2 linked regions of the Canis lupus familiaris genome follow. The protein of the gene in region 1 purifies or fractionates together with the protein of each later gene. This does not show direct contact. Links are inferred from orthologs where the notes say so. Each region holds a gene or a part of one and is shown in the gene's direction. Other genes may lie near its edges.

What was found.
Region 2: the proteins of EIF4A2 (region 1) and EIF3H purify together in Homo sapiens (affinity purification with mass spectrometry; 3 studies listed by BioGRID and IntAct, with this or other methods). This does not show direct contact. The link is inferred for Canis lupus familiaris from reciprocal best matches to the Homo sapiens genes EIF4A2 and EIF3H.

The regions. Positions count from the first base shown.
Region 1 is NC_049255.1:19,521,944-19,529,895, forward strand, and holds the start of EIF4A2 (eukaryotic initiation factor 4A-II), read left to right. Parts: upstream 1-3,391; 5' UTR 3,392-3,478; coding exon 3,479-3,507; intron 3,508-4,346; coding exon 4,347-4,392; intron 4,393-4,480; coding exon 4,481-4,613; intron 4,614-4,727; exon of another isoform or gene 4,728-4,796; intron 4,797-4,897; coding exon 4,898-5,037; intron 5,038-5,829; coding exon 5,830-5,998; intron 5,999-6,100; coding exon 6,101-6,210; intron 6,211-6,396; coding exon 6,397-6,540; intron 6,541-6,581; exon of another isoform or gene 6,582-6,757; intron 6,758-6,839; coding exon 6,840-6,977; intron 6,978-7,025; exon of another isoform or gene 7,026-7,157; intron 7,158-7,220; coding exon 7,221-7,310; intron 7,311-7,336; exon of another isoform or gene 7,337-7,478; intron 7,479-7,533; coding exon 7,534-7,613; intron 7,614-7,952. UniProt on the Homo sapiens protein: ATP-dependent RNA helicase which is a subunit of the eIF4F complex involved in cap recognition and is required for mRNA binding to ribosome.
Region 2 is NC_049234.1:16,489,748-16,497,110, reverse strand, and holds part of EIF3H (eukaryotic translation initiation factor 3 subunit H), read left to right. Parts: intron 1-2,697; coding exon 2,698-2,865; intron 2,866-4,388; coding exon 4,389-4,488; intron 4,489-5,669; coding exon 5,670-5,819; intron 5,820-7,363.

The DNA.
Region 1 (7,952 bases):
CTTGGTGGGAGGGCAGAGCATACTTGTATCTGCATTTCAAGATCTTCCCATTGATTTTTATGCATAGTACAGTTTTGCATGTACTGATTTGAAGTACAATAATGTATTTTTATTTTAGTCTTTACGAAGGTAGAGCTGAAAAAAAAAAAAAAAACCAACAACCCTCCATATCTTGGTTATACAATAGAATGTAAGAACGTTGGGTTAACAGGTTTAAACCCAGTCCTTACAGTTTCCACAGTCCCTTCTGTGGTCCTCCTCAATTTTCTCCATTTTTTTCAACTCTCTTAATCGTTACTTATCTTTATGCACATAGTTTTCAAAGTTATTGTGAAGAATGTGTGAGGGCTGCCCTCCAAATTGCTTCAGTGGACACCGCCTACGTTTAGGCAGAAGCTAACTTCTTATTTCCTCCAGCAACGGAAAGGAATGATAAAGAGCTAAGTAGCACTACTGTCCCTATCCAGCTCAAGGCAATTCTTTTTTTTTTTTTTTTTAAAGATTTTATTTATTCAGGATAGATATAGAGAGAAAGAGAAAGAGAGAGAGGCAGAGACAGAAGCAGGCTCCATGCCAGGAGCCGATCCTGGGACTCCAGGACGGTGCCCTGGGCCAAAGGCAGGTGCTAAACCGCTGAACCACCCAGAGATCCCCCTCAAGGTAATTCTTAAACACTTAAATAACAGATGTAGGGACAAGCATGTATTATATTGTGTTTACTAAAGAATAAATGACATTAATAAGTAATGAGTTAAAGATCCAAAACACATACCTTTTAAAAATTATTTATTTATTCACGAGAGACACAAAAAGCAGCAGAGATGTAGGCAGAGGGAGAAGCAGGCTCCCTGCAGGGAGCCGGATCCCAGGACCCCAGGATCAAGACCTGAACCAAAGGCAGATGCTCAATCACTGAGTCACCCAGGCATCCCCAAAACGCAAACCTTAACCAACATGCATATCAATAGCCTCCTGCTTTAAACGCGTAACTATCACTTAAGATCTGATAGACTTGAAATAATGTAAGAACCTCAAAAGAATACATGTACTTTCTTTAAGAAGCCATCGCTTTCAACATAAAGCATATTGTTTTTAAGGTTTTGTTGCATACTGACATATTCGTACTAATTCCTTGGTTCCTCTGGTGAACAATGGCTTACAATTGCTAGCTGGGTTTAGATTGTCAGCTGAGGCTTTCCAAGAGTATAAATGGCCTCACGTGATCCAGGTTAGCAAAGAAGCACTTGCAGTTGACTTTGAGAAAGCTCTAACTTTAGATCTCAGGAAAGTAGAAAGTTTATTTTAACCATAGAAGAATATGCTCTCTGACATGCACACTTTGTTAATAAGTGTATTTTGGATCTACAATTCATTTGTTACCTCATGGTGTTTAGTAAGCACAGGCAAATGTGGTAAACACAGCGTTTATTAGAAATACATTGTAGGGTTGCAGGCACTGTGAGTCTGGATTTTGACTCTGAATTTTTTTAAAGATTTTATTTATTTTTTTCATGAAAGACAGAGAGAGAGAGAGAGAGAGAGAGGCAGAGACACAGGCAGAGAGAGAAGCAGGCTCCCTGCAGGGGGCCGATGTGGGACTAGATCCTGGGACTCCAGGATCACACCCTGGGCCAAAGGCTCAACTGCTGAGCCAGCCAGGCGTCCCTGGATTTTTGATTAGAAAGATTTTTTACCTGGAAACCCCTTCAACTGTGACCTAAACCAGAATTTAGCCCTTATTTCCTTTTAAGAAATTCTGGAAATGTAACAGTAGTGCTAAACCTAAAGAAAACTCAACAATTTAGGTGTTGATTGATGACTGATTTCACCTTGTGATTGATTGGTTTCACCCTAAAGACTCCAGTGAGACTAAATGGTTGGTCATTTTTCTGATTTAGTATTTCCTTTGGTTTCTCAGATCCCTGGAGAGTTTTAGTAGGTTTATTGAGACAATAAAGATCTTTGACCTCCATTTGCAGAACATATCCCGCATTATCTCAAATCTGAATTTGAACATTATTACAGGGGGATTAATTAGGAGCAGCATCCCTAAACTGAGACCTACGCCTACTTTGTCATCTCGGTATTAGTTTTTCTCAGAGTTCTTGGCACAATAATTTTTTTTTTTGAAAGCAATGTATTTAGAATCAACCATCATACGCAGACGTAGAAAATTATGTCAGTTTTTCCAGGTAGCAGATCTTCGGTGGCCTTCTGAATTAACGAGAAAAATGTTTCCCTGATGATATCTCGCAGTGTGGGTAGTATTTTTAAAATGAAATGACTAAATGCATTGGGCCTACCCCAGGCCTGGGTCAGGGCTACAGTCGGAAACCTCCGCGGCTTCAAGAATCGTGCAGTTTATTTAAGCAGCAGGGGTTGTATCGCTCTCAATTTCCACTAAATCAACATGCATTCGGTATGAAGCAATTAAAGTTCAAAGCCTTTTGGGGGAAAAAAGAAAAGAGCAACATAGACCCGAATCAAAAAAAAAAAAAAAATCTATCTAGTCCCAAAGGGGGCACGGAGCTCTATCTGCCGGAAGCGTCCATTTAAATTCCTACGTTGTAAGGAAAACCAGTCCTTAGCTGTTAACCATTTGCAAAAGTTCAGGATGATTTTGTCGGGCATTCATTCCCCACGCGTTAGGGCGGTCAGCGTTATTTTTTAAGAGCGAGCGAGCGAGAGGAGACCGGGGGCAACCTGAGAGCAGCGTCGGCTGCCGCGGGGACCCCTGCAAAGGGCACTGCACGCTTTTGCCTCGCTTGGCACAGTGCCCTGCGGTGCGCCGGGGGCACCGGGCTTCGGGGACCTGCTCGGAGGCCGACATTTTCCCGAGCAGGAAGTTTTCACACTTTTAGGCTCTGGATGGGTGTTAAGCGCCCCGCCGAAGGCCAGGCGGCTCTTCCCCGGAGAATTAAGCCGCGGGGGGAGCCGGCGGGGCAGCCCCAGGTGCCCCCGTGCAGCGCGAGGCCGCGCCCCCGTCCCCGTCCCCGCCGCCGCCGCCGCCCCCACCCCCGGGCGCCGGACCGCAAGCTCGCCCCGCCGCCCGCGGGGAGAGGCCGGCCGCCGCGCACGCAGCCGCCCCGGGCTTCCGCCTCCCGGCCGCTCGCTCCCCCGGCCGCCTCTGCTTCGGGGCCGCGGAAACCCCGTAGGAGCGGGGCGGGCCGGGAGCGCGGTTTGGCCACCGCTTGCTGCAATATTCTTCCGCCGCGAGGCAAAGAGTCCCAGCCGCCCCCAAGGCCCCGGCATGTCCCGCGGCCCCGTAATATCGAGAAATAACCAAATTTGGGTTTTCCCACCCACTTGCTTGGGCTATTCTCCGAGGTAAGGACCCCAGGATCACAATTTGGTGGGCGACCGGAGAGCGACGAGAAAATTCCTCCGCGAGAAAACGGGTTCCGGCCGCGAGCCTATAAAAAACGGGTGGCGCGGCGCCGCTGTCTTTCCAGTCGGGCGCTGAGTGGCTCTTCGGATCATGTCTGGTGGCTCCGCGGACTATAACAGGTACGGCGCTGCCGCGGGGCCGGGGGTCGCGGCGGGTCGTGGCGGGTCGTGCGACGCCGGCGGAGGTGCTGGCGGTCGGCGAGCAGCCTGGGGGCTGCGGGTTCGCGGGCGTTTCCTGGAGGCTCAGCGCCTCTCTGCCCTTCGAGAAGCTTCCATGATGGGTAGGGCCTGGCCTGCGGGGAGACGAGGGTACAAAAACGGACTGGTTGGAGGGGCTTTTTTTTCCCCCCGTCCCCTCCCGAAGACGCCCTGGCATCCCGGGCGCGTCCCCCGCCCGCCGGCGCACGTTTTAGTTGAGCGGTGGCGCAGTCCGCAGTCGACACCGTGTAGCGGGGGGGGAGCTCTACCGGCGGCGGAAGGCGCGAGTTGCAGGCTCGGCTTTGGGCGGGGGGAGGGGACGGCGGCGCCCGCCCGCTCGCCGGCCGCGGCCTTGCGGGCGGATGGGGCCGCGCCGGCAACCGGGTCCCCGCGAACCGTTGGCACCGCTCTCGCCGGGCCGCGGCCCGCGTCAATCACCGCGGCTTGCGCAGTGTGAGGGGCGGAGCTCAGCGCGTGGAGCTCTCGCGAGACCGGCTGGCGCCGAGACGGGAGCGCCTGGCGCTCGGGCTGGGGGAAGGGCCGGCGGCCGTGGGCCTTTCCTGGGCGTCCCCTGTGGTCGGCCTTGGGGCGGGCGCGCACGGAACGTGACGGGCGCTGCGCCGCCGGCTCCCCGGACTGCAGGCGCGGGTGGTGCGCACGTGTGGGGAGAGTGGCCGGCCTAGCCTAGGCCGTCCCCGGGCCGTGCAGGTAAGAGGGCTGGGGAGAGGGACGTTCTCTAACTGCGGTGTTCTTGTCGGCAGAGAACATGGAGGCCCAGAGGGAATGGACCCCGATGGTGTCATCGAGGTAAGACCTCTGTGTTGGATTCTGGAACGTGGGCAAGGTGAGGTGTTCATCCGACTTACTCAGGCGTCCTTTTGTGTGTGATTTACAGAGCAACTGGAATGAGATTGTTGATAACTTTGACGATATGAATTTAAAGGAGTCTCTTCTTCGGGGCATCTATGCTTACGGTTTTGAGAAGCCTTCAGCTATTCAACAGAGAGCTATTATTCCTTGTATTAAAGGTAAACGAGCTAGCTAGCCCTTTTTGAAACATGCATTAACTGTTCTACATAACTGACCTGGACCATAAAAGGGAAAGTAACTTCTGGGGGAATAGCACCTGTTTGTATTCCTTAAAGTGAAATGATGGCAATCATCTTTCGGGACTGACCTGAAATGAAGAGAATACTCATTGCTGATCACTTGATTATTTGGGCATAATTAATGTTCCAAACGGAATACATGGTGTGAACTAGAAGTGGCGGTTTGATGTGGGATCGGTAAATATGTATCCTACTTTTTTTAGGGTATGATGTGATTGCTCAAGCTCAGTCAGGTACTGGCAAGACAGCCACATTTGCTATTTCCATCCTGCAACAGTTGGAGATTGAGTTCAAGGAGACCCAAGCACTAGTATTGGCCCCCACCAGAGAACTGGCTCAACAGGTATTGATAGTGTAGTTCAAAAAAACTGCTTGCGTGTTGCATAGGTTTCAGGTTTCACAACTGTGAAGAATTTAAAACTTAGTATAAATTGGTCCTATCGATAGGAGCCCTCCTAATTGTCCATGCATGCAGGGAGTTTTTGTTGAGTTAAAAATAGGAACTGGGTGTGCAGGTATGGTTTGCAGGGTTGTGTAACAGATTTGAGAAACCAAAGTGTTTTCAGGGTGGACTACATCTGTTCCCATTTTTAAGTTTGAATGCAGTTGTGCAACATGAAAACTGCAGTGACATGTTATTTGACTGTCTCAGTAGTTTGTGATGCATCTGTTGCATGCTATGTTTTCAAAGCTCACTGCTATATTGGCTTTGAAGTAAGACCTTGCTAATAAAACTAGGTTTTATTAAGGTCGAAAGGACGTAAGCTCCAGTACTTTGGGAAAGACTAAAGTTACCAACAAGTTGTCCCTAGATGTGCTTACTTACAGAGTTTGTTCCATTATTTACACCTTCCTACACAATGAAAAGCAATGTAGGAAATGATGTAACTAAAATCATTTAATTAACTTAGGTGGTATCTGGGGTAACAGGATCCCAAGTTTGACAAGGCACAAGGAAGACACGTTAAGGGACTTTTGTCATGAAACAGATCAGTCTGCATTTTAAGCTTGGAAGTAGTTAAGTGCTGTGCATGCATAGAAGCTATTTGCAGACCAGTTATTTGCTGTTATGCTTTGGAAGTTTAGTCACAGCCTGTAATTCTGCTGTGTAATAATAAAGGGTTTTGGCTTTTAGATCCAAAAGGTAATTCTGGCACTTGGAGACTATATGGGAGCAACTTGTCATGCCTGCATTGGTGGAACCAATGTTCGGAATGAAATGCAAAAACTGCAGGCTGAAGCACCACACATTGTTGTTGGTACACCAGGGAGAGTATTTGATATGTTAAACAGAAGATATCTTTGTAAGTATTGCTGTCTCTGGAGTATAGTTTATTTTAAATTAAAAGTTTGAATAGTATCCCTGTGGATTTAGAGCTGATAGTATGTTTGGCTTTCTTGGTCAGCTCCAAAATGGATCAAAATGTTTGTTTTGGATGAAGCAGATGAAATGTTGAGCCGAGGGTTTAAGGATCAAATCTATGAGATTTTCCAAAAATTAAATACAAGTATTCAGGTGAGCTTTCGTTTTTACTCTTTCATATAGTAGCTGGGGGCTTAGGTTTAATGGAAGTTAAAGTACAACTGAAGTCTTTGTCCCGCTCCCTTCTTAAAGCTATTGGCACATAACTATGACACTTGGTTATAGTTTTACTGTGAAAGTTGGCTATTTGTGTGACAAGATAATCATTGTCTTTTTAAGGTTGTGTTGCTTTCTGCCACAATGCCAACTGATGTGTTGGAAGTGACCAAAAAATTCATGAGAGATCCAATTCGAATTCTGGTGAAGAAGGAAGAATTGACCCTTGAAGGAATCAAACAGTTTTATATTAATGTTGAAAGAGAGGTAATTTGTCTAATTACTATTAAATTTTGGTTTTTTATTTAACCTTCTTGTATAAGCACTGTGCTAAAATTGCAGAAACTAGGATTGCCTTAGTTTTTGTAATAATGCTAGCAGAGTACACACAAGAAGAAAAGTAACTGCACTGGATTGTAGAGACTGGGGTGGACCTCTTTCTTAATGTCCAGTGTCCTTTGTCTTAAGATTTGGTGCAATATGTTTTAGAATGGCCTAACAATGAATTCTAATGAACATGAATTGGAGACTAGATTTTAATGACTGTTAACTTTGAAAAATTGTAGGAATGGAAGTTGGATACTCTTTGTGACTTGTACGAGACACTGACGATTACTCAGGCTGTTATTTTTCTCAATACAAGGCGCAAGGTGGACTGGCTCACTGAGAAAATGCATGCCAGGGACTTCACAGTTTCTGCCCTGGTAAGAGGTGTCCTAGTAGTGATAATTATGCTCCCCGACCCCCCATTAAAGCAGGATTTAGACTACAATATAGCTGTTAAGTGCTGTGTTGTCGTTCCCCCTGCTCAAAATAAAGCTGTTTCTTAACTATACCTGTCTGCTATACCCCTGTAGCAGCCAGGGACGCTTGGTCTCATACATGTCAGTAAAATTAAATAATTGATTTGACTGGTGATTCTTGAATTAAGGTTTGTTGATTTGCAGCATGGTGACATGGACCAGAAGGAAAGAGATGTTATCATGAGGGAATTCCGATCAGGGTCAAGCCGTGTTTTGATCACTACTGACTTGTTGGTAAGTCTCTTGCTGATCTTTTTAATCTACCAAAAGTTTGTTTTGGGGGGAAGGTTTTTTAATAACCTTTACCAGATTGGGCTGTTTGGGAGATTAAAGAAAAGACCACACTCCACAGTGGGCTATATCACTTAACGTATAGTTCACTACTATTTTGTGGCCTACATTATGTATCTGTGTACAGTTTTAAATTAGAATTTGAACATATACCATTGTATTGCAGGCTCGTGGGATTGATGTGCAACAAGTGTCATTGGTTATAAACTATGATCTACCTACCAATCGTGAAAACTATATTCACAGGTGAGTAGGTGGCATCTTGTTACTATATCGGTGAAATAAATTCATGTGTGACTTTTCTACAGACTGATTTGTTTGAAAGGCAACTTCATTATCAGGGAAGTAAAGACGTAGTAACTTGGTTAAGATGTCAACTAAATTTGTATTTGGGAAGATTGGTCATCTGCAGTGGGAAAACAGTCGTAAATGTTGCCCAAACTGTGGATCAGGTTGTTTAGATTTGTTGGTCTCAGCTTATTTTTGAGTTTTTAGTGATCTCGTGTCCATGTGCTTTCTTGGTGATTGTAGTTGGGATTTTCTTGGTGTTGTCTGGTAGCAATTTGAGCAGTCCCTGGTTTTTAG
Region 2 (7,363 bases), on another chromosome or scaffold:
CATGAGCAGGAGGGGCAGAGGGAGAGGGAGAGAATCTTAAGCAGACTCCCATGCTGAGTGTGAAGTCCGACATGGAACCTGACTTGGGGCTCAGTCTCATGACCCTGAGGTCATGACCTGAACTGAAACCAAAGAGTTAGATGTTCAACTAACTCTACCACCCAGGTGTCCCATCACTTGCAGTCCTTTAAGATCCTATCTTTCTGTGTGTGATGCCTCCAAGAGGCATTCTTTGTGTTTTTTAATTTTTAAAGTTGAGTTTCATGTAGAATAGGTCCAGAATATATTTTTTGTGCAATAGTGAAATTCCACTGCCTTGTAGATTTTTAGAACCAATTTATCAACTTACTTGTCTTGTTCCTACCCCTTACATTTTAATACTTATTTACCATATTTAGGTCATATGAAAACTCTTGTGACCTTAAAAATAGGTTTTTATTAGAGCCTTGCAAACTCATCTCTCTACTTGTAAATTCTCAAGAAGTGAATACACTAGAGCAGTGGTATCTCCCATAGACAAGCCTTCTATTCCTTAGTCTCTTCCTACCTGAGAGGAATACTTTATTTTCATTCTTGTCCAAGGGGTTGTAAAGTAGGTAAGATTTTGAGTGAAGAAGGAATTTGGAGGTTTGCTACTGATCATAAAGTTTATTTTACCTCCTGCATCCTGAAAATGCTATTATAAAACATTTTGTATTGAGGCTATTTGGGGACTGACTTAGTAAGATTACCAACTCTTTTTCAGAGGAATGCATTTTTAAGTATCAATGGATGCTGGAGGCTCTGCTTAGTTTGTAGTAAAATTACTACTTATAATTAGCATATTCAGTGAACACTGTGAAGTCAAAACATTTTGACTGTGATGTGCTCTCAAATCTTTCTGGAGATGGGAAGGCTGAACATCGGATAAGGAGCAATAACTGGACAGCAAGATTCCCCATAGAAAAAGAATCTAAGATCTAGTATGAGAACCTAGATCCCAAGATTCCAAGTCTTTTCTTTTTTTCCTACTGTTGTAAACTGAATCTAACTTCTGCTTATAACACACCTAAATTGTATATTGGCAGATATTTTGAAAATACTGATTTTAAAAAATCATCCTACACAACCACATTTGTACTATCAATTGCTTGGTAATCTCTCCCCATCTCTTCCCTACTCCTTTAAAATGAATAGTAAATTTAGTCTGACTCCTGTTATACTTGTGATATTGGAACTTTGTGTGCATTAAATTTGATTAAATTCCATTAGACAAAAGAGTGATTTTACTTTAAAAGAGGGAATTTTAAAGCAGAAAGAGACCATAGCAATGGTTCTATATCATATTTTTGTGGTTGGTGTGTATGAATCTGTTAAAGGGAAGGAGGTCTGTTAGGTGCTGGAGAGACAAAAATTTAAGTAAAAGGTGGTTGATATACGATTATCATATTAATTTTATATCACTTCTTCTTGAGGCCATCATATTTGTATATAAAAGAAAAACTAAAAAACTCAATTCTTGAATAGTTAAAAAGTTGGCTGCCATATTTTATCATGAGAATTATAACCTTCCTTGGAATAGCAGATTTATAATTTCTTTGCCTAGTAACAAATGTTGAAAAATAAGATTGTGACATCTGAGGGAGGTTCTTTTTTACTTCATGATCCTGAATCTTGTTTGTTTTATAAAACCGTAGTGCTATAACCAAGGAATTCACAGGCATATCATTTTACTTTTGCTAAAACCTGATCGAGAGTTTTAAAAATGAAATGGTAAGATTCCGAGTTAAGCAAATATATTTATTCCACATAGCTGTACATTCATTATAATAGAAATAGCTTGGATATTATGTTGACTATAAAATTTTCTCCTGTATTACATACTTGCTACTCATTATTGGGCTTTATTGCTTCTTAAAATCTTTTACTTGTTATGGTCTCAGTTCGCACCTATTCTAGAAATATTGCTTTAAGTTAATGTTATACATTATAGTCATTAATTTGATGAAAGTGTAGCCTTTCAGCCTTTTCATTCTATACATGGTGATTAACATATAACTGATGAAAAATTAATATCTGTTACTTAACACAGAAGAACATACAAATAAAAAAAGAATTATTTTTAAAATTTAGCATATGCAGCAGGGGGCACCAGATGAAGGCAAAAATGAATTCTTATATTTTAAATCAGCTACAGCTTGTATTCTGTTCATATTTAAATAATATGGTAGTTAATTGTTTCCCTATTCATTCTCTTGATGATTTTAACCTCTCAGTTCTAAAAGCTGAGTTGAAAGAGACTTTGATAAGTATTCTCACTTTACTAATTCAAATGAATATCTTAAAAAACCAACCAGTTTAGCAAATACACAAATCTTTTTCTTAAAGATTTATTACTATTTTTAAGAGTTTTAAGAAATGAGTGAAAACTACATTTAATAAATAATTTCTTGTTTAGAACAAGGCATTAATGTGTTCTTAGTAAGTTTTCTACAGTAGGTCGTTTCATTATTGAAAAAAGGAAAGCTTCAGTGATTTGAAATGATTTGAAAGCTTAAATTCGTTTTTGTTATATGTGAACTGATTGAATTTTAAACCTGGAAACCTGTGCCCTTTAGCTAATAAATGGTTGTGTAAAAATTCATTTCAAAAAAATCTTGTTTTTACTATTTGTAGCATCATTAGTTTTTCTTTTACTCCTCTGTCCCTGTCATCTAGTCCAGTATCAGATGGAAATGATGCGCAGCCTTCGCCATGTCAACATTGATCACCTCCACGTGGGCTGGTATCAGTCCACGTACTATGGCTCGTTCGTCACCCGAGCACTCCTGGATTCTCAGTTCAGTTACCAGCATGCCATTGAAGAATCTGTCGTTCTCATTTACGGTTAGTAGGAGTTTCCTTTATTATTCTTTTCTTCCCTTAATGTTATTACTACTATTTTTGCTTTCTGTCTTTTTGCCTCTAAGAGCAGCCTGGCAGGCCTTCTCAAGTAAATACCAACCCTGTTTCTGCAGCAGCCTCAGCAGCAGCTAAGTCTAGACAGGGTTTCCTTCTTTCTGTTTATTTTTCTTGCTATCAGAGCCCTGATGTGTACATTTTGGAATGCTGGAGTAGCTGCTTCATTTTTATTCCTCCATCTCCCCTCCCTCATTTGAAGGGGCTGGTGGAACTAGACCAGATGTCTAACAAACCCCAATTGCTAGAGTGTCTGGCTCTGTACGTGACTGACCAATCATAACACAGTGTGCCAAGTTTTTTTATACCTCTGACAGCAGCGTACAAAACCTGGACTGTTTCTTAGCACAAAGATTTTTTTCTTTTCGGCCTATTTAATGGTGTTTCCTCAAGCTCTCCAGACCAGATGTTCTGTGCTGTATCAGAACTGTAGGCAATTTAACAGCTTTATAGCCTTCCCCCTCCCCAAACACTCACAGTTTGCCATATCTGGCAGACTTGCATATAGTTTCCAGCTGAGAAGTAAATGTAACGTCCTGAGTATCTGTCAGAAAAAATACTAATGAATACGATCAATCTTATGAGCTGCCCCAAAATTGTTTCAGTATGTTAACAATTGGATTACAGTAAAGAACAAGTTGTTAAAGTGTACTTATATTGGCTGGAAACATTGCATCATCAGACCTTGATGAATTTTCCACTTGTTTCAATCTATTTTGGTTTTCATTTTATCACCTATTGCTAAAAGTTTCACTGTGTTAAGTTTCAGACAACATGAATGTTAACACAGGTTTTAGGCGAATATTGGCATGCCGGAGCCGTTATCATGCAGCAAGTGCTAAGCTCCCTTACTCATGGAGTGTGTAAGCAGCTAGTTTTGACCAAATAAGTTTCTCTGAAACTAAAAAGACACTTTTGTGATAGCACTTTTTAGTCATTTTTAGAATCTCTTTTAACTAAAAAAATTGGACAATGATTACTAGGATGGATAAACTTTTGTTCACAGGGCCATTCATTTAAATTAGTCCACTGAATTACACAACTTCATGGTGTATTTTCATATTTAATATTCATTAATATTTTTCTTCTAATTATACAAGATGAATATAAGCTGGACAGAACATAGGAGATGTTTAATTTTCACCAAGATTTCTGGATCAAGCAGACGAATAGGTTTAAAAATAACTGCATTTTGAATCTTCTGTTTTTACCTTAGGGAGGAAGTTACTCTACCTATTACAAGTAGGATGATAGGGTTCCTATGTTTTTTCACTTAACTATTTGCTATATGATTTGAATCTGCTTCAGACTGAGTTCTGATCATTTATTTTGATCTTCATTTTGCAAAGATTGTACGATTAGTAATAGTGTGCCTAGAACCAGTGTCATTCAAGCAAAGCAATGGCAGTAACAAAAGTGTTAGTAATTTCTTTCTCTTTTCCTTATTTGAGATCCCATAAAAACTGCCCAAGGGTCCCTCTCGCTGAAAGCATACAGACTGACTCCTAAACTGATGGAAGTTTGTAAAGAGAAGGATTTTTCTCCTGAAGCGTAAGTGTTTGGGGGCCTGTGAGGCATATGGTAAAGCATTGGCTGTTTTCCTCTTAAGATTGTAGTTTGCCACATTTATTGAATCCTTGGTGGTGGTGGTGTGGCAATGCTTTTGCCATGTGGACTGTAGAAGAGTTTTGCATGGCCAAGTGCCTCTTGATTTCTCCCTTTCCATGTTTAAACTGTTCTTTATGGAATGTCTCATCTGTTGTTCACACTGTGTATGAATTCAGTTGGAGGGGGAATTAAATAGCTACTGGATTTGAAGAGAGAGAATGGGATGAGTGACCAGTGGCTGCCATAGCTCTGTGTCAGGATAATTGTGAGCTATATGTCTTATGTTCTGGGTCCTATTTCATGAAGGTGGGGATGGGAAAGACATAAACATTTTAAGGTATCAGTAAGGAATGTGGCATTTTGGAAATTTTATGGGTGCTAGATATGCACAGAATTAATTGGTAAAGCTGTTTTATGATTTTTCATAATGGCATTGGAATATTTGTTAAAATTTTTTGAAAATTAGAATTCTTTCATTTTCTGTTAATTAAGGGAATTTTGGTTTCTTATTAAAGTTAGCAGCTTTGGGACAGGTTTTTGCTAGTTTTCCAATAGCTTTTTAAGAAATTAGGTTGCAAAAAATTTTAAAAGCTAACTCATGAACAACTCCTGGGTATGGTAGTTAAAACTAACTTATGAGAAACCATTTTCTTGCTGTATTCTGAACTATTGTATATAAGATATACTGTGAGTGTTCTGCTAGTTGTTAATTTCTTTAGTTTGGTAGACTTTTAAAATGGAACTTTCCAAGAACTGCAGTATTTCTCTTTTCCAGCTATTTATTTAAATGTTTTAGATAGAAGTTATATAACATAATTTCCCATGACATTTACATTTTAGTATCAATGAAATTTTGAAGATACCTGATTATAAAGAAAGACTAGTTTCTTCTGCCAAGAATCTTGTTTTTGGGGCTTTATAGCTCAAACTTGGATTGTTTTCAATGTTATTCATATCATTCAGCTTCAGCTTGACTCTGTAAAACTAGTTTCTCTCTTTTTAAAAGAGTGCTAATGAAACAGAGATCCTGGAGAGGGCCTGTAATTAGGGAAAGATGTATGAAATAGTCAATTTAACACTTACTTCTGACCACCAGACTAAAGTATTTTTAACACGCTTCACAGATTGAAAAAGGGAAATATCACCTTTGAGCACATGTTTGAAGAAGTGCCGATTGTAATTAAAAACTCACATCTGATCAACGTCCTAATGTGGGAGCTTGAGAAGAAGTCAGCTGTAGCAGATAAACATGAATTGCTCAGTCTTGCTAGCAGGTAAGTGGCCCTGTCTAATGAAAAGTCCTTTAAAAAAAAAAAAACAACAACAACACTTTCTGTGAAAATATTCTTTCACTTAGAATTTAACTCATGGACCAAGAAAAAAATTACCCAAGTACATTTTGAGGTTCTTAGGACCTGTATTACGACACGTAGTATTTGTCCAGCCCTGCTGAGAATTCAGGAAAAAGGCCAAACTGATAAACAGTGTTCGAATACTAATAATACTGTTATAAGAACCCTCTGATGCCTTTGTTGTATTATTTTTGCTTTGATACGGTAAATGCCCATGAGGGAGGGCTCTTTGGGGGAGGGGGTGCTTAGCTTTATTGTACACTGTCCTTAGAGGATTATGGTATTATGTCTGGATGTTCAATAATGCTGAGGAAAACTGTGAAAAATGCAAATGCTTCTTTGTTTTACTGGTAGCACTTGCCCTTGTTCAGATGCAGACTCTTAGTGAATTTCCAATGTGGCTTTTCAACTAAAATTAGAATTTTCCGAATCTGACCCTGGCTTTTGGTATCTTAGATGGGGGTGACATAACTTCCTCCATTGTGACTGGTTTAGCTATCTAGTTGCTAGATATTATTTATTGTATTGGTAAAGTGCTGACTGATGTGTTCCAAATAGATTATTTCCTTTATGGAATTAATGTTTCTTTTCTATCATTTATTGCTCTTAACAGAAATATAAGCAGAATCATCTATAGGTAGCTCCTATGAAATCCCCTGTAAGCTTGATCTTGGTGATTGTTTTGTGGTGGGAGTATGCTAGCAGCAGACCTGTAGAATGAAATTAAATAGAGTAGTAGGTAGTCAGTATGCATTTGTTGAATGACTGGAAGAAACAAGGTATGTTTTCTTAAGCAACCACTTTGGAATAGAAGCACAGTTGTTTATCAAGTTTCTCTTATCCCAGATAGAAGCTTATACAAAAGAATCTACAGACTTTGTACTTCTTTGTTATAAGACAACTAGGGTAAACCCAGGAGGACCAGAGAACCCAGTGTTGTTTTCTGTGCTCTGGGGTGGATAGGACTGTGCTTTAAGTGCCACTTTTTATTGCATGAATCCATCATAGGGGCCACTAGAAAGTCTGTACAGAGGAAGGAGACGGAAACTGCATGGTGAACGGAGTGCTAAGTAATGCAGCCAGCTTGCAAGGCTAATTTGGCACTGAAGAGTGTACTGTTGACTGCAAACATATATTCATAATAGTCCTTTAATTTGTCTCTTTTAGAAGGTCATACTTTTCTTTATTGCTTTTGCAAACACACTCAGCACACCTGTACTTAAAGCATTGCGCTAAGAACATTTCTTTAGTGTGCAAGGTTACAATTTGATGTATTAAGTATATGTAGTTATACAGTAATTTTAAATTTACTACATGAAAGCGTTTGCTTATATAATTTATGCCTTCACCTTTTCCAAGTTTATTGAGCATACAAAACAAATATAGCCTCTTTGTGCTTTAAATTACCAATGAGCTGGTCCATAATGTCTGTTTGTCCAAAATAGCATTTTTCAAAAAATTTATTT